Linked DNA regions of Styela clava. The protein of the gene in region 1 interacts with the protein of each later gene in a pairwise test. Links are inferred from orthologs where the notes say so. Each region holds a gene or a part of one and is shown on either strand. Other genes may lie near its edges. The genes, in order: RAB6-interacting golgin-like, RING finger and CHY zinc finger domain-containing protein 1-like and N-terminal kinase-like protein.

Region 1 (8,041 bases):
TGGGTGTATAATGTATTATTTCATGTCAAACATGTTTTAATATTTTTTCCTAACACCTGCAACTATCGTTTCTGCAATCACAGACTCTCTAATAAAATGTTATTTCCAAGAAAAAAAAAAAAAAAAGTTTGCATGGACCGAGAATCTGGAAAACGCCTAATAGCATGATGGGCGTTTTTATGATTATTTGTCTAATTCTTTAATTATTTTTGTTTTCCATATTAAATGATAATATCGGTTAAATTTATAATATATATGGTATAACTACTGAAAAAAAATGTATGCACAATGGTCACTGGATTACATTTCATGAATGTGGACACAATTCAAATTGGATATTTGAACTAATATGGGTAAATGTATCTGGATTATTTGATATTTGTGATCATTTATCTATCATGTATTGTATACATAACACCTAAATTATTTGGAAATTGGGATTCATGCAATTAAATTGACATAATAATATATTTGGATAAACCAAAACTATCATTTTCATAAATCCGATTTGGCTATGGATTTAAATTTGGCAAAAAAAAAAAAAAAGCCTTTACCAGATTTCAGTTTTTTGCTAACGCTGTAATAAACTTACTAGTTTGGGCTTGTTTACAGCCCTCTCAATAGCGTAACGGCTAACCCATGGATATAAAAAATGAGCATGTAAATGACTAAACGATACCAAATTGTCACCAAATGGAACAAGTTTGTCCTGCAGTCAAAGTCTACCCTGTTCGTCTCTATTCATGTTGAATGTTGCATAACTTCTACATATTTACTTAGTGTAAAAGTATTACGGACCTAATAACAAAAAATTTGTTATTCAAACTCTCATCCAATATTTCCATAAATGGTGATTGCTTTCCCACAAACCAACCACACTTTCTTCAAACTAAATAGACAAATGTGAAAGCACTTGGCAAAGTAAATATAATCACAGTGAAACAATAAAATCCGAAGTAAATGTAAACAATAAATGTCATGAAAATTCACTTTGTAACAAATCAAATAAATTAGAATATGATTCATTATCAACGTCATAGTTTTGATCAATGGATGATTGATTAAAATTTTCAACAAAATTTTTCACTTCCCCGGAGGGCAACAGTTCTGGAAAACAGTACTCTGGTAAAAAATAATCATAACGAAGCCTTTTTGGCCCAAAAGAGTCAGTGCGTGGAATATTATGTAATCTTGTCCGTGGATTACGAAAAACTGCTGTGTCTGTGCGAACTAATCCACAATCATCCGGATATAATTTGACTTCACTTTCTGGAATGAATAATTTGGCACATTCAACTGATGAAGCAGCAGCATCTGTAAAACTTGCACCAGTGGTTGAGGTAGACATGGAAGACACTCCGGAGTCTGATGACAGATCGTCGTTGGAACAATTCCGGCAGCGTGTAGGCTAGAACAAGAGTTATATTTTAAATATAATAAAAATAAAAAAAATGTTATGCGGTAGTTTTCGATCTGGTACCCACCTCTGGAGAAGCAGGTGTTGCAAAAAGATTGAGAAGTGATGCAGGCTGTTGCGGAACCTAAAAATGAAGAGATTATTATTAGAATATGGGAACACGATTGGACATCCCACAAAATAGACATTTTTACTTACAATATTAGGTTTGGAGCATTTACAAAGCGGGGTTTCTAGTGTCTGGACAGTTTCTTCGTCTTCAGTGAATGAGGCCTCATTTGACCGTAACTGCTGCAAATGTGCTCTAACACAAGCACATCTTTTTAGGAAATACTGTATCCATCCTGACGTTGCATTATACAAAGTCAGTGGCAAACCCGCTTTTAAACACAGTTCCACAGCCTTATTACTAAGTATAGCAGCATTGACTCTACTTCCAGAGCATACAAGCTTCTGGTGATATTTAGCCACTTCATAATCAATATCAATATAACCAGTTGGTCTAAAACCAATCCCACTTAAACCTGTTATGCATAGAGAAACAGAACAAAATATACAATTTAGGACGATAGGAGAAAGTAAATAATTTTAAAAAATATGGCAATTGCATTTAGAACAATTTGATTAAACCACTGTCTGACGGTTCGTATATTATGTCTTGGAATTATCATTGCAAAAAGCATGCAATAGGATTAAGGATGAAAGAGCAAATGATAAGAGAACATATCACGACAGAAGTCCTATTTCATGAATGAAGTCATATATGCCAGCATTAGAATTCAAAATATTACATAAGCAGTATTGCTGGAAGATTGGAAATACTGCTGTACTGAACCAGTCAACAAAACAGCAAGATCAGACAATAATACATTAATAAAATATTCAAATATCAAAAATGTAATAAAATTCGACCCATTCTTTACCGAAATATTTTTTATCTTCTTCTCGTATAACAATCATCTTTTCGGGATTCAGGTTTTCCCATGTGGCGCCCTTACACGGAACCACTATGCGCTTCTTACGCTTTTTAGTATTCTGCACTTTCGCTTGCCTGCGGTTTCGGCAGTTTAATTGAGACCGCTGAGGCCCTAACTTCACCAACTTTGTTCTAGACATAACAGATATATAGATATACACTCGCCTCAAACTTTTCTAATGAAATATTTACAATTCCTAAATCCAGAATACAGTCGCCACGAGGACACCTCAAAGAAGGGCGTCGAAACAACAGAATGTCGTTTATCGCCGTTGTAAAATAACCAATGCTGATTGGTTGGTTTGCTGGTTCACGTGACGACGACCTTTTTTCCTGTCTAGTTCCTGACGTAATAAAGAAAGATAAAGAACGACGCGCGAAAGAAAAAATCCATATCGCTGTGACGTATTTGAGCTTTTGCGTCTCGAGCCTCTGGGCACACGAGGTGTAAACTTTTATCTCCCCGCGGCGTGTTATCTCTTACCTAGACTGGATCATGCTAGTCACTAAACAAATCGAATATTTTTTTGCCCACAGTTGCCGTTCATTGATGAAATCCACTGCTGAATAGCGATATCAGAGTTGGCGAACCCAATGTACTTACAACGTGGTGATCGCACTCTGCGGCACATGGCAAGGTGTTTTTCATAAATCTCACATTTTTACATTAGTGAGGGGCCTGGATTTCATAATCATTGTTTAATTATTTTTATTAATTATTTCAACGTCTGTGCTGATTATAGAGTCGAAATAAAACCAATATATAGTTAAGAGTAATATTTTGAATATCATTGGTCTGAATATGTAATCAGCGCAAGATGCTCGCTTGCAATTAGGGCTGGGCATTTTCGAAACACTGGTGTTTCGAAATCGAAACGAAATTTTGCCTTCGAAACGAAACGAAACACACGTTTGTTATAAACAGTGAAATATGATACCATTATTACCCATGGAATTTAATGTATAATGACATCTATTTTCCACAATTAAATCCACAAAAGGATATCACTGGATGCTAATTCGAAAGATAAAACGATAATGATAATTCCACGAATGTTTCTGCTCAATGACAAAGCAGCGGCCAGATCAAAACGTGGACGGCGGCGCTTGGACGTTTGCGCGATATTTAATATTCTTATAAACACTGAAAACGATATTTGAGAGTCACGATATTCGAATAAATTCGGATATTAAATTCGAATTGGTCACTAATTACAGGTTGCATTTGCTATGACGTCATAATATCCGTTTCGAAGGTCGAAACGCCGCCGTTTCGACATATCAGTGTTTCGAAACGTTTCGAAACATTGTTTCGAAACGCCCAGCCCTACTTGCAATACAGCAATACTAAAGTATGTTAATATTTCTTCCTTTAATACACCAGATCGAGCAGAATGTTCTTCGTGTTTCAACTGTGATGGTGCATGCCCATTGGCCCAAAACATTGAATAATTCAAAAACAGTTCTTGCTAGTTTAGCAATGTTATTTGAGTGCTTTGTTTGGCAAATAATGCTCAAGAAGCAACATGTATACGTGAATGAAGGCCAATGTTTGCACAATGCGTTATAGAGGGCTGGAAAAATTAATAAAATGATCATAAATTAAAAGAATCTAGATCTATGTTTCTAGTCTAGTCCTGATTAAGGTTTATATATAAAAAAAATCAAATTTGATTCGTTCATTGGTTTTACCAACTAGTATAATGAAATTCCCTCCATGGTTCAACTCCGTGTAACTGAAAAAGTTATCAGGTTACAGTAGTTTCATTCCACAAAGACTCAGAAATCACGGAATCATGTGAACTAAATATATACTAGCAAGTGCATTTAAATGTGATTCTTGGGCTGAATTCCTAGTACTGGAAAGGAATTTGCAGCTGCTCATGTTATCTTATGTGGGTCTCATGTAGTTTCGTACCTAACGTACTTCTAGTAGGCAGTAGCATAACAATTTTTTCATGTGTCAATCCTAACCCCCACCTGACCACACCATCCCAAAATTACGTCACTACGACATCACAGTGACGTAATAGAGCCCTTCAAACTATGCGAACTGTCATCCAAGACGCGCAGACGAGAACCCGAAATCGAACAGCCATTTCTCTCGTTTTCTCGTCGCAACGATCCCGATAGGAGAGAGATCGCTGACGTCAGTCAGTTCTTAATATCGGCGGCGCCGATGCCATTTCGGGCGATCGTAGGAGTATTTGGCAAGCTCTATGACGTAATTGTGACTACATAGTGACGTAATTTTTGGATGGCGTAGTCAGGTGAGGGTTAGGATTGGCATGTCAAAAAATTGTTGTGCTACGCCTACTAGAAGTACGTTGGGTACGAAACTACACGAGACCCCAACTTTTTTACTTACAAGTTAGAAACACACATTAGGAAGGATATGAATGAATATCGCTAACAGTAAATATCCAAAATAAACTTTGCAGGAAGTTTTCTAAAGAACATAAAATCTAAAAATGAGTGACTGGGTGGGATTTACTGACGCTGATTTACGAAGAATGAAAAGCGATGGAAATCGCTCAGCTGGTGCCAAAGTTGCTAAACCCTTAACTGGCGGTGCCAAAGCGAAACAAGGATCTATCTTGGGCCAAAAGGTTCAAAAAAGGCAAAGCTCTAAAACTACTCCTCGAGTCCAAAAGGAACATGGTGATGTACCCTCGGAAGCAATGCTATCACAAGCTGCTAATGAAGAATCCTCCAAGAAAAACCTACCATCAAAAGTCACAACTCCTACTGATAATACACCATTACATGGGAAGACATGCACTCCACCAATAGGTATTTTCTCTTGAGGTTTGATGAATTTTATTACTGTTAGTTGTCTCTCTGACCAAATGTTCCTATTAATTTAGAATCTACAGATAAAAGTGCTAATGACACAGTTGAAAGCGAAGAGCCTGAAATTTTAGAAGATGCTGAAGTCATCAAAGAGTAAGCATATTATAGCCTATTTTCATGTGACCTGACATACCTAACCTAAAATTTTGTTTTTAATCAATTTGGGCAAGATGTGGTTTACAGTTTGCTTCTTGCTCACATTTACTGAATGCAATATCCTTGGTTTGTAACAACAATTATCTGATTAGCCATGGATTATATTTTATTATAATTTTTTTTATTCATACCTTCCAGAAAAGAGAAAATCAAACTTGAAGACATCCAACAGAGACAAAAACAAATGGAGGAGAAAAATAAAAGGAAGAAGACAATGCTAACGAAAGCAATTGCAGAGAGGTTCGTATATATATTGATGTAAATGTCTGTATATAATATGCATATATTATTCTTCATAGCTCTTAATATACATAAATATGTTTCATTGAAATGCTTCAAATCTTTGAACCCATACAAATTCCTTAATTAACACCATCAGGCATCAGCCTAACTATTTTGGTGTAGTTGGTTTAAGATCTTCAGTTTAACCCCATGTCCTGAATGTAATGAAAGACTTTCTAAGAAATAGATGTTCGACTGCTTCTCAGTGCCGCCTCAAAGGTCTGAAACCTCCTCATAAAAAAACTGTAATAAGTGGCTATTTTAACTTTAGGTATATACGTATATAGTATTTATAAATGGTCTCACCTAGCGCCATGGTTTCTACCTGCCAATTGGTTGTCTATTATATATAATGAATTAGAACCAAAAAAAAAAAAGATAATGATTCTATCCATATCATTGTCTGAAGCAGTGGTTCTCAAACGGTGGGGCGCACCCTCACAAGGGGGGCGTAGACAGTTTTTTGAGGTGGCGTGGAGCTAATTAAAAATTAAACTATTTGTTAGATTTGATCTTGCCCGCCTTGTTTTGAATAGGCTATTTACATTTCTTTACTTTGGATATTTATGTCCCATCCACATATTATTAATATGTTTTTTGAATGAAACATCATTTCGCCTCAACTATCTGTTATTTTAGAGGTGGGGCGCGAGACTTGAGAAATTCTCAAAAGGGGGCGCGTCCCAAAAAGTTTGAGAATCACTGGTCTAAAATGATCGTTGTTTCAGAAGTGGCAACTGCATGATATCATCAGCATATGTAACCAGCTTATATCAAACTGGTTTTTGTAACAACTTCATTACATTTCTTCTCATAGCTTAATACATGTTCAAATTTTTTTCAACTTGAAATGGAATAGATTTTAGAATTAAGACTGGTATTAGATTACATTATCATTTGCAAGATTTTTGCTAATCCTTATTTGATAAAACTTTGATACATCAAGTCATTTTAATTTTACAGAAAAAAGAGAGCGTTTGCAGAATCAACAAAACTTGTCAAAATACAAGCCGAACTTACAAAGCTTGATGGCATGTTGAATTATGATGTTTCACTTCTTAGAGATAGAATTGATGAAGCTTGCGTAGATTATAATCATGCACAGTAAGTTATGGTATTATATTTTTAATTATACATGATAATGTATGTTAATTTAGGGTGAACTGTAAAGTTTCTTTCGACCTCATTTACACTTCCTATGTTTCCAGACATCCTTTTGTTGCTTCTACTCTACTATTTCTGATATGTCATGCAAGTTGTAATTGCTTCAAATGTCCTGTAGTATATTTGGTAATATTCTACTAACAAAGGCGGGCAAAATCTCGAGGTTATTTTCATCCTCACAGTTGCTGCCACTTGATAATCTCTAACAATATGTAAAGGAGATAGCGATCAGAGACCGCTGACTTATCGATCCAGCGGCGTGTGCCCTGCGCTCTGACTCAATAGCGTGGAAACTTTTTTGATGGAAACTTGCGCATCGCACACACACTCAGCACATGCACACTCTTGCTTCAAAAATCTAGGTCATTCACGTTCTCTCGCTTTTCAAAAATCTAGATCTCTTCATCACTAATTAATTAATGACTCTCTTGTTATACGACATAATCCAAAATCAATAGGCTTCTGGTTTGTGATATGATGAATGAACATGCAAAATTTGGAGCAGATTCAACCTCGCTTGCGTGAGATATCGCATGTATCTAACAGACAAATACCTATTAACATACTTACCGATCAAGATCGATAAGTAATAAAGTCATCATTGTCTTTATGACAAGTCCATCATAAACAGTGCACATATAATTCCTCCTAATCACTTCCTGCTTCTTGATGAATGGACATAAGGGTTGTCACAAACTATGTTCAAGTTTAATTTTTAAGGATTCCTGTGTTACCAAACAGCTGATTGGCGTTTTTAAATATAAGTTATAACTGTATATTTTCAGAAAACGCTTTGATAAAGCAGAAGCGGAATACATAAGTGCAAAAATGAATCTTCACAAGGCAACACAAATGAAAGAAGAATTGACAGAACATCTATTCCATTTAATACAATTAAATGAGGAAAGGAAGGTAAGGCTGAACTATGCTTCAATATATGATAGATTGATTATGATTTGACCAAAGGATAGGAGAAATGATTTGACCACCCCGGGAGAATAGAAAGCTGATAATACTGCTCAATCATAAGACGAAACACGGCTTCTCCCGTTACTAGTCCATGTAAGGTTTGGGGATAAAAAATCATTTATTATTTTAAGATGCATGGACTTGAGTAGTAAGCCGTAACCAGCCAGAAGTTACGTGAACCACCTGACCATGGCTGGGAGTCCAGCGATCCTCTTGCGCATAAT
Region 2 (8,379 bases), on another chromosome or scaffold:
GATAACTCTGACAGTTCTTATGCAGAACCTATATACACCAGCATAAAGCAAATTTGTGTTTAAACAAATGTAAGTATTTTTGTACAGTTATGCCCAACAAGTTCGTTTTGCAATATGAGCAAGAGCAGTATATTGTATCAGAAGCAACCAACTAATTGTATATATCTATACCCATCACAGACTAGTGATCTGGTGACAGGGCCATGATAGTATTGAGCCATCTCATCATATTTATCTCGCCTGGTATAAATATGGAAATTTTACTTTTCAATAGGTAGATAGATATTACAAATAGATATTACGCAACATTTTATTTATAATTGATACATGACTTCTCAAAATAACATATCTAAAACAGAATGGTCAGATGACTGTTCAATATGAAAACGCAGAGTATACTTTAATAAAAAGTATATTAATGGTAATGGCTATAATGCTGTTCAAAAATATAATGGGTGACCATGAATACATACTTTACATAGATATATTCATTGTTCTTCATTATAAAAAGTGAAGAATAAAACTAATTTCATACTATACCATCAAGCAAAGTTTATAAATTAACCATTGAATAATTTATATAGTTAAAGGTTCAACCCCCTTTCCTACCACCTTACCCAGGTTGAATGAATTAGGTGAACAATTCTTTCCATGAATAGTAGCTCCATACACATCAGTGGCGGTTTGTCTAGAGCAGGGCTGCACAACTCAAATGAGGATACGTGCCAAATTTTTCAAAATAATCTTGTCGCGTACCACGCACAATTGTGGTATTGTAAATTAACTCCTGCAAAACAAACAAATTTCAATAATAATACATAATAACGGATATCTATTTATTGAAACAATTTAATGTCCTGAAAAACTGCTGATTTTGATATAAACGTGATATTTTAATGTGTATCATAAATATTTTTTTTTCACAAAACTGTTCGCGTGCCACGTTTGAGCGTATGGCGTGCCAAATTTGGCACGCGTACCGCGTGTTGTGCACCCCTGGTCTAGAGCACCGGTTCTCAACGAGTGGGTCATGGCACACTACTAGGCCACAGAAACATTTCCAGGTGGGCCAAAACCTACTGTAAATTGCACAAGAGTTATTGATAAATTTATTTACATTTGTGTCACTATAAATAAATTTTGATTGCAGTAGCAATAAAAGATGCTTCTGTTGTTTGCTGTGGAGTGGTAATTTTCATTCTAATCATCAATAAAGTGAAAGTGTCTTTATTGTGGGAAGATTTTTTTTTTTTGTAGTTTTATCCTGGCATTGAAAAGTTAATGGGCCATGAAATCTTTGTTCAACAAAAATGGGCTACGACAGAAAAAAGGTTGAGAACCACTGGTTTGGAGGTTTATTCAAAGTGAAAACACCTCTTCAATAATTTGAAATTCGTAATTGACGTTGAAATATCTCAATATCAACTGTGTGTGACTAAAAATCATAAATACCAAGCGATAAACATGGAATATTATATCCTTGATAAAAATAAGTAAAACCTGCCAGACAAAAATTAGTACAACTGAAAGGAGTAAACAGTTTGTCAAGTGTGAGGTTCCTCAGTCTCAAGAAGTTTGGATTGAGGTTGCCCTGTTCCACATGTATTGTATGATTTACATTTAGAACATTTCAATCCCAGAACATGAAATCGGACATTAGACACTCCCTGACAGTCCTTACAAAGAATCCATATCAATGTGTTAGCATATTCGTCTGGCATAGGTGTCACAGCAATCTCTTCATCAAGATTTTCCCAAACTTTTGACATTTCCAAAGTCGATTTGCCACATGACGGACATCGATATTCATTGTGTTGAAGCATTACAGAATAGCATTTTCTGGAAGATAAAGGCTTAATTACTTGAAGGGTGTTGTCATGAAGCTATTTCAATATTCATATTAAACAAATAAGGGAATTGAAAGATTGACTTGAACAAATCACCGAATTCTTATGATTGCGAAGTCACTCAATCATAAAATGTTAAAATTTCAAATTCATTAACTTGATGATAAATGATGATATAAAGAAGTGTTGTGCAGATGCAGATGGCCAACAAGTACACATAAAAAACTTTCTATCAAAAAAACTATGAGAACATTCTTTAGCATATGTTAACCAGAACCAAGACAAATAACAATCTTTGGAGTAGAGATAATTTAAAACAAAACTAGTTAAAATCATTGTTACAACTCTTTGAAGAACGACTAGTGACCACCTATATATTTTCCCCTATAAATTAGGGATCCACAAGCTTAAACCACAATCAAACCACAACTAAATTTCACAACTATTCCTTTGATTAACCAAGTTTAGAATCAGAATTCTTTTGATATACCACTATGACTATTTAGTCAAATTTTCTTGTCTGAAAAGTCTTACACACAGCCAAAAGAAAAGTTACACAATATGCAGCAAGACTATCGAGTGATTTCAAGTTTAAATAGCCTTGTAAAAAAGTGACAAAACCTTCGTGAAAAAATTTAAATTCATTCATATCACACAATTGCACCAGTGTGGCATGGTATCATGTTGGTAGATGGGAAAACATTAATGAAAAAACTCACTGGTGAATAAGATGGCCACACGAGGGAACCTTTAATGACTCCGTGGATGTGTGCATATCTTCTAAACACACTGGACAATTGGATTTCGATGATTTTTCCACACATCTTAATAAAAAGTAACAAGCTTGCCACAAGCTCTCAACACAATGTGTATCAATAAAGAACAAAAATTTTAAATATCGTTTTCCATTAATATTTAACCCCTAAGCCAAGGGTAATAAAATATTGCATATTTTAAACCTTCTAAATCAATGCTCAAAGGCTGAATATAATAAATTGTAAATACCAAAAATCAACCTTATTAAATGCCATTGACAAATTATAAATTAAAATGGGAAACAGCAGAGTGTGAATTTGGCATTTTTATTTTGTACATGCATGAATCTGATTGAGAGAACAATTGTTGAGATTGAGGAATTGTTGAAATTGACATAAAAATACAAAACAACGAAAAGAGCATAAATTAATTTGAAAAATACATACTTATGAGAATCCTTGATATCAATACTTAAACATAGATCACATTTCGCGCAGTGAAAAAAATTTGCACGTCCCCCTACTCGACACAAACCACAATCATCACAATGATATTGCTTACGATCTCTGTCATCAAACATGTTACATATAGAACAGTGATATTTTCCAAAATTTGTACTGCAAACTTTGCATCTGAAATATTTTTTAAATTTTTAAACATAATTAGGTCACAAAGCTTGGTTTATAATTTTAATGCCTTTTTAAGAGCTCTTAGCTCAAGGTTCTATTAGATTAAGGAAAATATCAATAAAAAAAGTTTTTTTGAAACTATGTTAGAAAAATGGCCAGTACAAAGAATATATATACAAATTTAAAAAAAAAGCGATCAACTATTTTAACGAGAAGCCAAGAAGCTTGTTATCAAGGTTTTATCATTAAATTTGAAACTGACTCTGGAGAAACTTCTTGAACAGTGCTACAATTGTTGCATTTGATATGCTTCACAAGGTAGCGATTCAGTTTGTGATTACACTTCTCATCATGGCATAGGCGGCAAGGATAAAATTTCCAGCATGTAGAGCACTCTAACAGACATCTTCTTATGTAGTGTGTGCAAATTTCACTCTCTGTCTCTGTGTGAGAATTATTACCTATATCTGACATTTTGAGTTTGTAATTATATTTAACTTATCTGCAACACACATAAATATAAACAATACTGATTAACTGTTCACATTGTAACAAGAACAATAGCAATAGGGACTGGGATATTAATGAATACCAGAATAAATCTTCATATTTAACAACTGACTTACTAATCCCAGAATCCCATACACGGCTTGGAATTGTTAAGTCGTCTTAGGATAGGATTTGCATATTTTGAATTATATTTATAATATTATTTATCGCGGGGGAGAGGAAAGTTGACAAGACAGCGCAATCATATGGCGAACCACAGCTATAACGACTTTCCTTTCATCCGAGGTAAATATGTAAATCTGTATGTAGGTCAGGGTTGTCCAGAACGAATCGAATATTCTAAATTATTCGAATATCAAGGTATTCGAATACCTTTTCGGCTCATTTCCGAATAATTACGAATAGTAGTCACTTTTCCCCGTAAACACGGTGTTTCGTTTTACCGGAATCTTCAAACGACTTTTTACGCTTTCTCACGTATTGTAATGACGATGAAATAGAGTCGGCATTTTGATTGTTTATATTCAGCGCGAATGTACGTCGCATAGTGTTGCGACACATTTGCACGTTTGCGTTGGTGGACATTGCCGACATTCGTCTTTTAATTCACAAAATCATTTCCATTAGTCGAAAAATCGACAATCACCGTATTTCCCGGCTAATAAGTCGCTTTTCTAGACCCAATTTTGGCTTGATTTTTGGGGGAGGGGCGCCTTATTGAGAAAGCATGTTTATTTCATTTCTATGTGGCCTGCTTATTTTTCGCATTAGTCTTCTCAAGCATAATTTGTGTTGAACCTTATATTTGGTTCTTATGGGTCTGCCAATCATGATATTTAATCGTAGGCCGGTTATCGTTACTTAAAAGAGAAAACACGGCCACCGCCACCGAGATAAAGTAAGTGATTTATGACCCTTTGGTTTTGCCGATTCAGCAGAAAACAACAGGGACATGAAACACAGCTGTGAAATAACCCGTGGACGTACCGTGTGGTACTTATCACATTCCAAAATTATTTCAACATTCGGGTTGATAGGTTGTCCAAAATGATTGCCGCTTTATAATTTAAATTTACCGCTTCGTTGTTGAGAATAGTTAATTCCGTGAGTATGGTTCTACCAAACAAACATGATCTGGTTCTGTTCTGACCCTATAAAATTATAGATTGTTCAAAATGATTTTGATTTTTAACTTAAAATTACCGCTTTATTGTTAAAAATAGTTAATTCTGTGAGTATGATTCTACTAAACAAACGTGATCTGGTTCTAAACATTATTATTAGCGCATATTAGCATAACTGAACAACAGGGAATAATTTTTCTACCCGTCTTCTTGGAGGCCTATATGGAAAACCCCCTTTTTTGAGTGCTAAAAATATACATTGTCCTATTTGCCATGTAGACTTATTAGCCGGGAAATACGGTATTTATAGCCGCAATTGTTACGATACCCAATAAATTGTCACAAGTTGGGAAACAAGTTGATTTATTAGAAAAATACTTTCACCCGCTTTCTGGAAAATAATTTTGATAATGATGGTCAAAAGTATCGATAATGAAATGAATGTATGTATGTATGTATGAATGAAATGAATGTATGAATGAAAGTATTAATACCAAATACCACGGGTATTTGTGGGCATGAAATGTGTGGTAAACTGCCCAATTATAATTAATTTCGGATTCGTATTTACAAAATATTAAAACTATTATAACTCAAAAATACAACGGCGATTTGTGGACTTGAATGTGTAATAAAGTACAAATTATTTTTCCGAATTGTGACAATTTTTTCGAGTACGAAAATAGAATCAAAAATTAATTATATTCGGGCACAATATCACGGCATTCTGTGGACATAAATTGTGAGGCAAACTCGCGATTGATATTAATTTTTGATTCCTATTTTGGTATTTACAAAAACAACGGTGATCTGTGGACATTGAATGTGTGGTAAACTACCCGATTATAAATAGTTTTTGAACCCTATTTTCGTATTTATAAAATAATAAAAGTATTATTACACAAACATACAACGGCGATCTGCGGACTTAAAATGTGTGGTAAAGTTCCCGAATATATTTACTTTTTGATTCGTATTTTTGTACTCACGAAAAAATTGTCTCAAGTCTGAAAAAGAACTCATACTTTATCCCGCTTTTTGACAAATAATTTGGATAATGGTTGGTATTTAAAAGTATGGGCGTTTTACTAGGATGATTTTGTGTTGCGCAAGCATTCAAATCCATCACCGATACCACTATTTAAAATGCCTTGTCGTATTATTTTAATTCTGTTAATTAACACAACTCATGTTATATAAAATATATATCGCAATAATCTGCAAACATGAAATGCCTGGTAATATAGCCAGGTTGTAGATAGAAGTTATTCCATTGTTTATTGTATGAAAATTCCTTCATACACTTAGATTCTATTACTGGATTTTATTTTCGAAGTATTCGAAATTTCATATTCGAAAATAATAATTTCGAATGTATTCGAAATAGTGAACTATTCGGTATTGGCCATCCCTGATGTAGGTACTTCCAAACATCGAAGTAAATTTTTTCGCGATATCGCACACTTTGGGAATCACTGACCTAGGCCCTCTCATCGTATAAATCGGCCGTGAGCCTGTGACTGCAACTAATCCTCCCCGAACACAAAATTACTTCGGCCTTCTCAATTTTAAGACAGCACGGTACAGCAGTAACTGGATAAGGTTTTCATCAGTATTTATCCAGTCCAATTTTAATATTCCAAGTTATATTGTCCATTTCGAATTGTACGGTATTCCATGTTGTGATCTGCAGAGTAGGCCTACCATTTGAAGATATTCATTTTAGTTTATGGATTAGGCATATAGGCAGTTCTTCATTATATTGCAGAATGGACAGATGGACCAATGCCCATCATTGTTATAAATAAATCTCTCCCTGCCCCCCATTCCCGACATGAACTGACAACCGGACGAGAGCCGGGGTTCGCCATATGACCCCGGCTCAAATATTGAAATATGAAAATCCCAAGATGTTAACTACGTAAAATATTGTAATATATATTCTGAAATCGGAAAATATTTTACATGCGACGACCTATAAATAACAGACGCAATAAGGTCGTTTATTAGTTCAAGGGTTGGGGTTTCGGGGCCAATTTTTGAAATCCCCGTACCGGGATATCCCGGGATTGAGCTGTATAATCCCGGGACTTTTCGGGATTAAGTAAAAGATTGAAACAACTTGCATGACAATAAAATCACGTAATTATTTCATGTAATAAAGACACAGAAATATTAGAGCATCTAGGACAGTGGTTCCTAACCTTTTTTTTATATCGCGGCACACTATTTAGCTCTTTAAATATTCGCGGCACACCTATCACAAAACACGATCATTTTCTACTCATAAAGAGTGCGATAGTCGAACGCGATCATGGGGGTCTCGTGTAGTTTCGTACCGGTACCTAACGTAGCATAACAATTTTTTGATATGTCAATCCTAACCCCCATCTGATTACGCCATCAAAAAATTAAATCACTACGACATCACAATCACGTCATAGAGCTTGCCAAATATACGCACGATCGATCGAAATGGCATTGGCGCCTACGATAAAGAACTGGCTGACGTTATCGGTCTCTCTCCTATTGGAATCGTTCCGACGACAACTGTTTTCTTACGTTAATGTAAACAAGAGCGTCTTCGGAGCACCTCACATTATTTTAAAAGTTGTGCAGCCGCGAAGTGGACATAACGATCGTTTCAATATTATGTTGTTGTTGTTGTTGTTGTTCTTGTTCTTGTTCTTTGACACGTTTTTAAAAAGTCGCTTTACTCTTCGAATACTGGACCAATTGCTTTGAAATTTTCAGTGGTTGAAGATAAAATTTTTCCCCAGAAGGCTATTACTTTTATTTATTTTAAAATTTCCTGTGGACTTCGAGAGATTCGTTTTTTGTGTTCAAAGAAGTGATCAGAATAAAAAATAGTGACACCTTGTGGCGATTGCGCGAAGGCATATCAACTGAGAAGCGATCGTAATTCTTGCTCCGCTAAGAGTTGTTTATGATGGGATGTTTGGGGTTACCGGTACCCGCAATGCAGCAATGCAACGGTTTGCGATTTCAATAAACTCGAAAGGTTTTTGAGGTTAAGTTAAACTACCGGTACTGTTTCGCGCGGTGTTCAATCAATCAATGTTCACTTTCCATATATTTCAATATTTGTAGACTGTGGTTCCCGTGTTAAGCGAAAGTGATACTGGTACGATACGGTAGCTGGGAAAGCTATGACAGTCCCTGTGGCCTGTACGGCACGTACCGGTACCGTTTACAGGTTTACGTACCGTCTTACCGGTACCGTAGTCCGTTACGGTACGTACCGGTACAGCTGTACAGGTACGATATCGGTAGACTAGTACAGTATTACTGTACTAGTTGCATTAATTATATTTGTTTAGAGTGTGTGCCTGCATTGGAATTAAGTTTTTGTAATGAGCCAGCATGTCTGCACAGCTGCTATGCCTTTCTAATTTTTGGCTGTTTCGTTACATTTTTTTGGAAACAACATTTGCATAAATACGTATGATACCGTATGCAGAGGAAGAAACTTCACAAAAATTTCAACATGTG
Region 3 (8,918 bases), on another chromosome or scaffold:
ATACATATATATTTTTGCAGAGGAAAATGAACTTGATGAAAATAAAATGATGACGTATATATTTTTATATAAAATGAAAATAAAAAACTTGTGTAGTGAATCAAAAAAGTCAGGTATTCACACTTCAAAATCTACAAATAAATTTTAGTTTAAACAAATTACAAATTCTATAAAATCAGTATTCCATTTCCAAACACACATTTTATGTGAAATCAAATTTGTAAAATGTATTATCTTTAGCGATATATGCAAATTTTATGTTTGCAAGATAAAGATAATACATTTTACAAATTTGATTTCACATAATATGTGTGTTTGGAATACTGATTTTATAGAATTTGTAATTCGAGATAAAGATTTACAACATAATTCCGACAAATTAAATTTTGCACATATCTTAAATTTGCAAAATATATCTATGTAAAGTAGGTCAAAAGTAATAGCAACAAAGAATTCTTTACTTCAGGCAGAAATAATTCATACATAGATATGTTTAGACAAGAATGAATTTATTCCAATTCCCTAATGAAAAAGATAATAATGTTGGAGAGAAATATTATTATAAATTCTACCTGGATTTCTTCAAGGAATAAATTTGTGTCAACAAAATAATTGTTCATGAAACATTGCTGAGTTCTGCAATTTTCAATAAATCGATCAGGACTCGGTCGCGAAGCAGGATTAGCACCAACGAGTTCACAATAATGTGCAACGAGGCTTTTCGGTATCTGAAATGAAAGACAAGCATGAAGCCAGCAGATGAAAACTAGGTGAAAAATCAAGTAATACGTAACAACATATTTACCCCACAAACTAATTTCACTCCAGAAGGAACCCAGCGGTCCCCAAACTTCTCAAAAGGTAAAATGAATTTATTGATTCATATACACAACATTTAAAATAAGAAAAAACAAAACATTTATAATAAATACAATATGTAATATTTTCAATCATATTTTAGTTATGTTTAACACAATTCTGTTAATTTCCTAGGTGCACTTAGCAACTCGCCACGGCGCACCCTTCTGGATCCGCTGTCATAACCAATAGTTCCAAACATTTCAGTAATAGATATGAAAGCAAGACACTAACCTTCCCAACAACTTTGAGTGAAGAAGTTCTGGGTAATGGTCCATTAAAAACTTCCCATATTAAACAGCCTAAACCCCACATGTCAGAAGACCTGTAAGATTAAAAGTTAAAAATTACAGAATGAATCATTTTTTATTAAATGTTGAAGTGCACAATATCTCTTGCTAATTAGTACTTGAACTACAGATTTCTAACTTTCAAACAAATAAGCAAGTCAGGACTTTAATTAGACTTGTTTTATGTAAATGATTTATATCCACGAGTAAAACTCGTGATAAATTATATGTCAAACACAAATAATGGTAAATTCAACCCAAAAAGGTTACAATCTTATAAGCAAATTGTTTGCAACATTTTTTATGATAGGTATTCCAAATCCATAATGTAGGATTTATTATAATTGAGTTATTGAAAGCCTAATAATATATTTTGAAATTACTTCGAACAAGAATATTATTTTGAGACTTACGAAAACTTAAAAAAACACACACATTTATTGCATGATCAAAGACTATGGCCTGATGTTACAATCCAAATTTTAAGATTCCAGTTCATTGAACTGCGAAACTTACCACTTAGATGATTTTTTGTTACGATTTCTTGCAGATTTTTCAGGGGGATCATATTTTTCTAGCATAGGTAAGGTTTTGAAAGGCGGAAGATTGCTGCCTTCGCCTGAGGCTGGATACATGTAGTCTACTCCACCTGAAATTCATATAACAATGACATAGAAGTAATTCATTCACTGCTTTAAACGTATCTGAGTATGAATATATGAACAGAAAACACAAGTATAATTGCATGAGAGTGAGACAATACTTATTATTACACAAACTATAATATTCCTATTCCACAAAAATAAAAGTTTTTAAAAACTTCATCTGACATGATAAGTTTCGGCTGCCAGTAGGGAAAAGTATTGCACGTCATCTTAAATTGATTATTCAGAAATAAAAAGTTTATTTAAAATAAATCATGACTAAAAATTTTGAAAAAATCCTAATTGAAAATAACCTTCACACTAACAATCCATTCCTCACCTAACTTCCACTCTCCACTTTGATCAACAAATATGGAAGACATGCAGACATTGTTGTGTATAAGATTTACAGTGTTTACCAGAAAACTGAGACCTTTCTGTAGAACAATTTGGAAAACAGTTAATTAATCAATCATAATTATTTAACTATTTCTTTTCGGTATTTCATACAGGATACATAATTAAAAGTGACTAAGAGTCAGTACGAGGTTACCCAAAAACATAACCCAGATCATTGGGAAGATATTTTTAGAAAAAAGAATACTTTTGTGCAAAGTGTCCCAGATCACTGAAACAAACAGAAGTTCAAGTGTTGAAGTTTAAATTAAATTTTTTTATTTTTATTGAAGAAATTAAAAAATATATCGGGTTCTGTTTTTTTTTCAGGGTCAACCTGTACTATACTCTCTCGAAAGGAGTTTTAGTGGTCATGAAATATGGTCCTCTTGAAAAATGCTGTAATAAACGATTCATTTTTTTGTAACAAACTTCATTATTTTCCAAAAAATTGATTACTACAGTAGTCATACAGACATGCATCTGTGTTTTCTTCCCAATTCATAATCAAACCATCATAAACAAATACCGTACTTACAGAAATCTGGTGAAGACCCCAAGATATTGCAAGATCACGAGTGGCATTTTTAGTTTCCATTGTCTTCAAATGTTGTAACAAAGGTACCACAGGTTCGGTAACAATATAAATGCATTTTGGGGCTTCAAGGCTGAAAAGAATAAAAAATATATAAATAAATTTCATTTCATGGTTGAAAGCCAACGAACCTTGAAAGAACATTTCTATATTGTACAAAAATCGGATAAAGAAAATAAGAGTAATACCTGTCGATAAATGTAAGAACATTAGGATGTCGAAGAGTCTTCAATCGTTTTATTGATGATGAAGCAACCTGTCTCACTGCATCATTGCTTTCTGCTACATCAAAAGCAAATATAGAAACAGATTCTCCGTTTGCCTGAAACAAAATATCAACAAAACAGATCTTTAAAATTCAAAATCTTTTTTTAACATTGAATGTTAAGAACTCATCATTAAACTACCGGTACATGAAGAAAATCTTTTTGACTTTCAAACATTTATAAACTTTTAAATGAAATATTTCGTGAATATGGCTTCAAACTCTGATTGGAAAATCAGCTCAAAAAGCAGCTTTTTTTGGAATTGTTGATGAGAATTTTTTCAAAATTTTAACTTCTCCCCTTTGTTTTAAAACCCTCGATTTGGAAGTACTAATCTCAATGTAGCAAAACATAATAGAAAACAAGTATAACTAATGAAAAAGGGAAATTTTCAAGCATTATACTATTTTTATGCACAAGAAAATTAGCAAAACAATAGCTATACCTTACGAGTTCCCTTATGCAATGTCCATATACTTTGATCATCAAGTCCAGAGATTTTTTCCCCAACTTCAAATGCGAAGTCTTTAGTGGGATCTCTCGAAAATATCGACCACATATTTCAAAATTTAATAACAATCAACTTTGCATCAAAATAGTTACTAGAAGACTAATTGCAAGCAAATTAAGCCGCTCTAAAAACTGAAAAAAATGAATAAATAAAGGGCTATAGGGTAATAACTGAATAAAGTTAAAAAAAAAAAAGCTTTAGATAAATTTTATAGTAAACGAACAAAAAATAAATAAGTAAAAAAGAAATTAGAATAAAAATAAGAATTGTAATTAGAGATAAGAATTGTTTGCCACACCATTTTTATAATTTCATAAAAATTCCCAAATTGAGTACGGTACCGTAAAAGCGCCTAACTTCGGACAGTTCCTAACTTCGGACAAAATTTTTGAACGGCCATATCTTGGCTAAAACGCGCCGTATATTGCTAATTTTAATTATTATAGGTTGCGCTGTTATATCTACATCTATTCTCATCTTTTTTAATGTTGCATAATTATTTTTTTGGTAAAAAAACGGAAATTTTGCCGAAAATTGACTGCCCGGCATTCAACGGTGCAGAGCGTCGCTCCTACTGAAGCCATCATCGTTAAAATACCATCATTCGGTAGAGGGCGACAACAATGTATATAATTTATTTGAGTGATCGCAAGATGTCGTACGAGATTTAAATTAAATCTAAAATTCTGAATTATAAATTCCGTAAGAATATTAAGATTTCACGCAGCGTCAAAAATTACGTCAACCTCACGTAGATTATTTTTCGCTCACTTCGACACGACGTCACACTGCGTCGCGGAAATGAATTTTGACGCCAGACACAACGGAGCCAATATGACAATTTCCGTTAAGATAAAGACGGCGTTTCAATCTAATATTTTTGTATTTTGTTCGGTCATGTATGAATATATGCCAAAATTACATTAATGAAAATACATATCACACTTAATCGATGACGTTAAATATCGAATATATAATGAACTATGATAATTCCAACGTCCATATGGCACAGTGCACTGACTTAACCATTATTTTATGATTAGTAGTCGAAATGACAGTTATTGAATACGGCCTGGGTGAATTTTATTCACTCGAAATTAAAAATAAATTTAATCTCCAACAAATAAACGGGACCTACATGTTTACAAGATTAAGTTGAATTTTAAATTAAACTTTACAATCGGATTTACCGTGTGTTTGATATAAATTATCATTTATAAAGATAACCGCGCAGAATAAAAAAAAGCTATCCGTCGAGAATATTAATACTTCAAAGACTTCGATAGAAGCCCGTTAAAATACTTCATTGTGGTTTGAAACGGTTTGCATCAGATATATTTACGTATGCATTTCCTGATTAAAATGACTAACGTGTTATTATACTCATCTGAAGTATCGAAAATAACGAACGAAAGATGTAAACATAGGACGACGGAAGTTTCAAATAATGCATTTTCGTCGTGACGTCAATGTTACGTTACGACGACGATCGAGCGTCTTATCTTCACGCAACGACGTGATTACGGCATCCGCATCGGAAGCCTCTTTCTCTCTGTGCGTCGCGGTTACGCAGTGAAGAAAATGACTGTCCGAAGTTAGGGCAGTGAAGGATAACGGTCAGATGGCAAGAAATATCGATTATTTCAATAGTAAAAATAGTCCAATTGAACCGAAATTTGCAGGGAATGTAAATTACCGCGCGAATGTTTTACCGAGCAATTTTGGCACCGTTTGGACAATAAATGGCCGAGTTATTGACGAAAATATAGTAATTTTGTCCGAAGTTAGGCGCTTTTACGGTACCGTACGGTACGGATTATGTCAACAAGAGTGAACAGTATTTAATATGGAGACAAAAAAAAAAGACTTTGCCAAGCTGATTATAGTTGGAGTCAGATGCAAAGCAGGCAACCACTGACCCGCTTTCCCCCAATCCAGCTCCAGAGCTCTAAGAAACTGTGATACTCAAGGTTCTGGCTTCAACGGTACCGTACAGTAAAGGTACCGGTACCGCAGTAGTACAGACGAGAGCCCAAAAATCATTACACCGTTGTAGCATCTTACTAAATCACTATTGCGTGAAATACTTCCGAGATACCAACCAATTAAAATAAAAATTTATTATGACGACTGGATGGACCTTTCCCCGAGCATCGACTTCCTTGTTTACTTCGTGACATTGGCCAATGAGCAAGATGCAAAAGGTGACGTACTATGCTCCCTTTTCGCATCCGCTCAGACACTTTTCTCACTCAGACAGATTTTCAAGCGTGGTCGTAAACATTACCTCATTTTCGCGTTTTTGAACTCTATTCGTTAGTTTTCACAATGACATTAAACAACATGATGCGCAACTCCGGCATTTTTGTCCGAAGATCGTATTGGATAGCACGCTCCAATGCACATACTTGACGAGACGAAAACGAGCGGATGTGTGCTGCTTTCAAGGCGTAGCACGAATGGCGTTCGTGCCTGCTTCGACAGTTGTTGTCGATTTTAATGATATTTTGGAAAGTTAAGGTAAAAAGAAATCGGAAAAAGGCAAGGTAAATACTATTGTGGTATATCACACCCGGGCATCGCACTGTTAAGTACATGTGGGAAAGACAGCCTTTGTCAAAGACTACGAAGTTATTAATTCAGTACGGTACGTAGTTGCCCATTTGCCGAAATTACATATTTACTTACTCCTTATGGTTTCAAATAGTTCCTGCACCTCCGGTTAGATTCTTTTAATCAGTGAGGATATTTACTCATTGCTGATTGCTGCTCATTGTAATATACTATTGTGCATTCACTTATATTTGCGTATTGAATCAAAGTGTTAACAAGTTCACCTAACATTTCACTCATACCGGTCTATCTTGTATAGTCTGATCTCTCAAGTATTTGGAGCCGCGAATGCTTGTAATTTTCTGACTAAACCCTTTTATTAGTTGGTTTATATACCAAATTCAGTAAAATATGAGATATTGGATTTATTAGCTTTTCCATTCTAAACCATATAGACTGCTTTATTTATTCTTAACGAAAATTAATAAATCTCCTCTCTTTCTTCACATGTGAAAGTTGTGGACAAACCTGTCTAAGCATTGTGAGACTCCTGCAGCACAAGAGGTAATAGCAGAAATAGTAAGTATATCAATCAAGAAATTAAGCCGACATGAAGCAAAACTTTCAACTATTCGTCTAATCTTAATTTCCTATTATTTATTCACAGGACAACTATAGCAGAAGGGGAGATATCAGAAGTCTGGCGACATATCAGTGACAGTGTGATTCCAAGAAATATAATTAGAGTACTCCATAAATGTTTGCAATAGAAAAACAACCTATGGAGGCATGCAAAGACATTTGACCCTCCGGTAGAGTTGTGTATGGCCCCCACATCCTGCAGGGCTTGAGGAAAAAAACTAAAACTTCCCAGCGTAAGATTGCATAAGCGGTCTTATTTGTAATAAGGCACAAAACACGCCAGACATACTTAAAACAGCTTTGGAAAATGAGGATTACGGGTAACTCACTGCACCTGTGTTATATTTGGTTCATCAACTTTTGTTAGTACTATAGAAAAAATTACGGAAGGCGTATAAGCATCATTCATGATAAAATACTATCATATATTTTTTGGACAACTTCAATCTAGACCAGGGATCTTAAACTCGCGTCCCCAGAGAACTTCCAGTGCGGCCCTCGAACGCTTAACAATAATTGTAATAGTATTTTGGAAGTTTTTTTTTTATCTAAATGTAATAGATTTTTCAAACCTTTTAAAGTGAGATTGATTATCCACACAGAAAACAATTTACTGAAAGTAGTTTTGAAATATTAATTTTTTTTGTCCACATTTTGACCCAATTAAGAATACACATCAAGCTAGCAAGAGAATACTTGAATAAAACACTTGAGTGATTAAATCAAACGCAAAGTACATGAAGAAAGTGGCATTTTCGAAGAAAATGGGAGTTGCAATATTTCTGCTTTCCACAAAATTTTGAAGCACATTGTTTAATTTGTCATATTTCCACTAATACAATGAAAAAACACAATAAGCTCAGCAGTCAATATGACAAATTCGAAGACCAACTTCGAACAGAAAATTTCCATGTGTTTGTATATTAATATAATTATACAACGACTTGGTTACTAAAAATCTATATCAATAATAATTCAAGCAATCCTATGCCACGCAATGTGGTGCGAAATGTCTTGTCGAAAAAATCTGTCATTTTTTTTTACTGATCTATACATGAAATGATAAAAGTAACTTTTTTTGCATTACTGGAATTAATTAAACATTTGCAAAGATCCAGATTAACCCATGATCATGTGGCCTCGTTATTTAGAGTTGGTACTATAAAATCATTTCAGCCTGGCCTTAGTATGCTGGTGACATTTTATGATTTTTTATAATAATTACAGTAACTTGCAAATGTTGCAATAATAGTGGAATGCAAATATCAATATGTAATTGCATTTGAAATTGAAGAAAATAATAAAACTTAATCCAACTGTTTAGTTGCATCACAATATATGTCACAAACTAAAACTATCTTAAAAATATCTTTCAAGTATACATTATCAAAAACTGTTTGCGGCCCTTTTTACAATTTCCAAATCGCAATGCGGCTCTCGAAAACCCATGAGTTTGAACCACTGATCTATTCTAGACGATTCAAGCATTGCTTTGGGAAATAATATCACTTCAATTAAATTGAAATAATCATAATCTTGCTATATTAAATACAAAATCGTTGCTATCATAAAGGTAAACCAATTCAGCCACTCGAAATATATTGGCCTTCACAAAGCAATGGAGGCAAAATTGAGAGTTCATGAGCTATGAACATTTGTTCCTTTCTTTGTCTTGAACTTTTCATACTCCACAGCCCCTATTAATTTTTTATAATTTTAATTACCATGTGATGGTCATACATATCTTTAACTTGTATTTTCTGTCATGATGTATTATCTCAATGTGCCAAACTATTAATTAGTGTGCATATTTTGCTTCCAGATGACATAAATGTATTGTCTTGTTTATTACCTCAGCTTGGAGTATTGACAAGAAAAAGGTGCCAGCAAATTAGGTAAAATTTTTTTTAACTCTTTGTTATAATCAGAATTCACAATCAATAGGAATTATAAACAGCCAACAATCAATAAGAATTTTATGCGAAATGCCTCAGAATAAATTTGTCCAAAATCGGAGAAAGGCAAAAATTATAGGTAGTTTCCACTTTCCATCCACACAAGCATTTCAAGAAGACTTGCTCGAGCCAAACTAAATGAGCATCGTCAGGTGATCGGTAAGGCTGCAAGTTGAATTCAGCCCTGCAACCTCCTGCATAGAAGATA

Evidence for each region.
Region 2: the proteins of RAB6-interacting golgin-like (region 1) and RING finger and CHY zinc finger domain-containing protein 1-like interact in a two-hybrid assay, tested with the Homo sapiens proteins (3 studies listed by BioGRID and IntAct). The link is inferred for Styela clava from reciprocal best matches to the Homo sapiens genes GORAB and RCHY1.
Region 3: the proteins of RAB6-interacting golgin-like (region 1) and N-terminal kinase-like protein interact in a two-hybrid assay, tested with the Homo sapiens proteins (2 studies listed by BioGRID and IntAct). The link is inferred for Styela clava from reciprocal best matches to the Homo sapiens genes GORAB and SCYL1.

The regions. Positions count from the first base shown.
Region 1 is NC_135254.1:14,352,463-14,360,503, reverse strand, and holds the start of RAB6-interacting golgin-like, read left to right. Parts: upstream 1-4,520; 5' UTR 4,521-4,663; intron 4,664-4,692; exon of another isoform or gene 4,693-4,834; 5' UTR 4,835-4,864; coding exon 4,865-5,186; intron 5,187-5,260; coding exon 5,261-5,339; intron 5,340-5,540; coding exon 5,541-5,642; intron 5,643-6,647; coding exon 6,648-6,788; intron 6,789-7,633; coding exon 7,634-7,760; intron 7,761-8,041. Other genes in the region: uncharacterized protein LOC120344284, read right to left, coding at 977-1,408, 1,485-1,541, 1,616-1,941, 2,341-2,533.
Region 2 is NC_135257.1:10,033,744-10,042,122, reverse strand, and holds the start of RING finger and CHY zinc finger domain-containing protein 1-like, read right to left. Parts: upstream 3,755-8,379; 5' UTR 3,707-3,754; coding exon 3,495-3,706; intron 3,236-3,494; coding exon 3,050-3,235; intron 2,672-3,049; coding exon 2,567-2,671; intron 1,840-2,566; coding exon 1,545-1,839; 3' UTR 1-1,544. UniProt on the Homo sapiens protein: E3 ubiquitin-protein ligase that mediates ubiquitination of target proteins, including p53/TP53, TP73, HDAC1 and CDKN1B. Mediates ubiquitination and degradation of p53/TP53; preferentially acts on tetrameric p53/TP53.
Region 3 is NC_135252.1:12,119,043-12,127,960, forward strand, and holds the start of N-terminal kinase-like protein, read right to left. Parts: upstream 3,697-8,918; 5' UTR 3,609-3,696; coding exon 3,495-3,608; intron 3,106-3,494; coding exon 2,972-3,105; intron 2,857-2,971; coding exon 2,727-2,856; intron 2,230-2,726; coding exon 2,133-2,229; intron 1,798-2,132; coding exon 1,665-1,797; intron 1,184-1,664; coding exon 1,093-1,183; intron 729-1,092; coding exon 573-728; intron 1-572. UniProt on the Homo sapiens protein: Regulates COPI-mediated retrograde protein traffic at the interface between the Golgi apparatus and the endoplasmic reticulum. Involved in the maintenance of the Golgi apparatus morphology.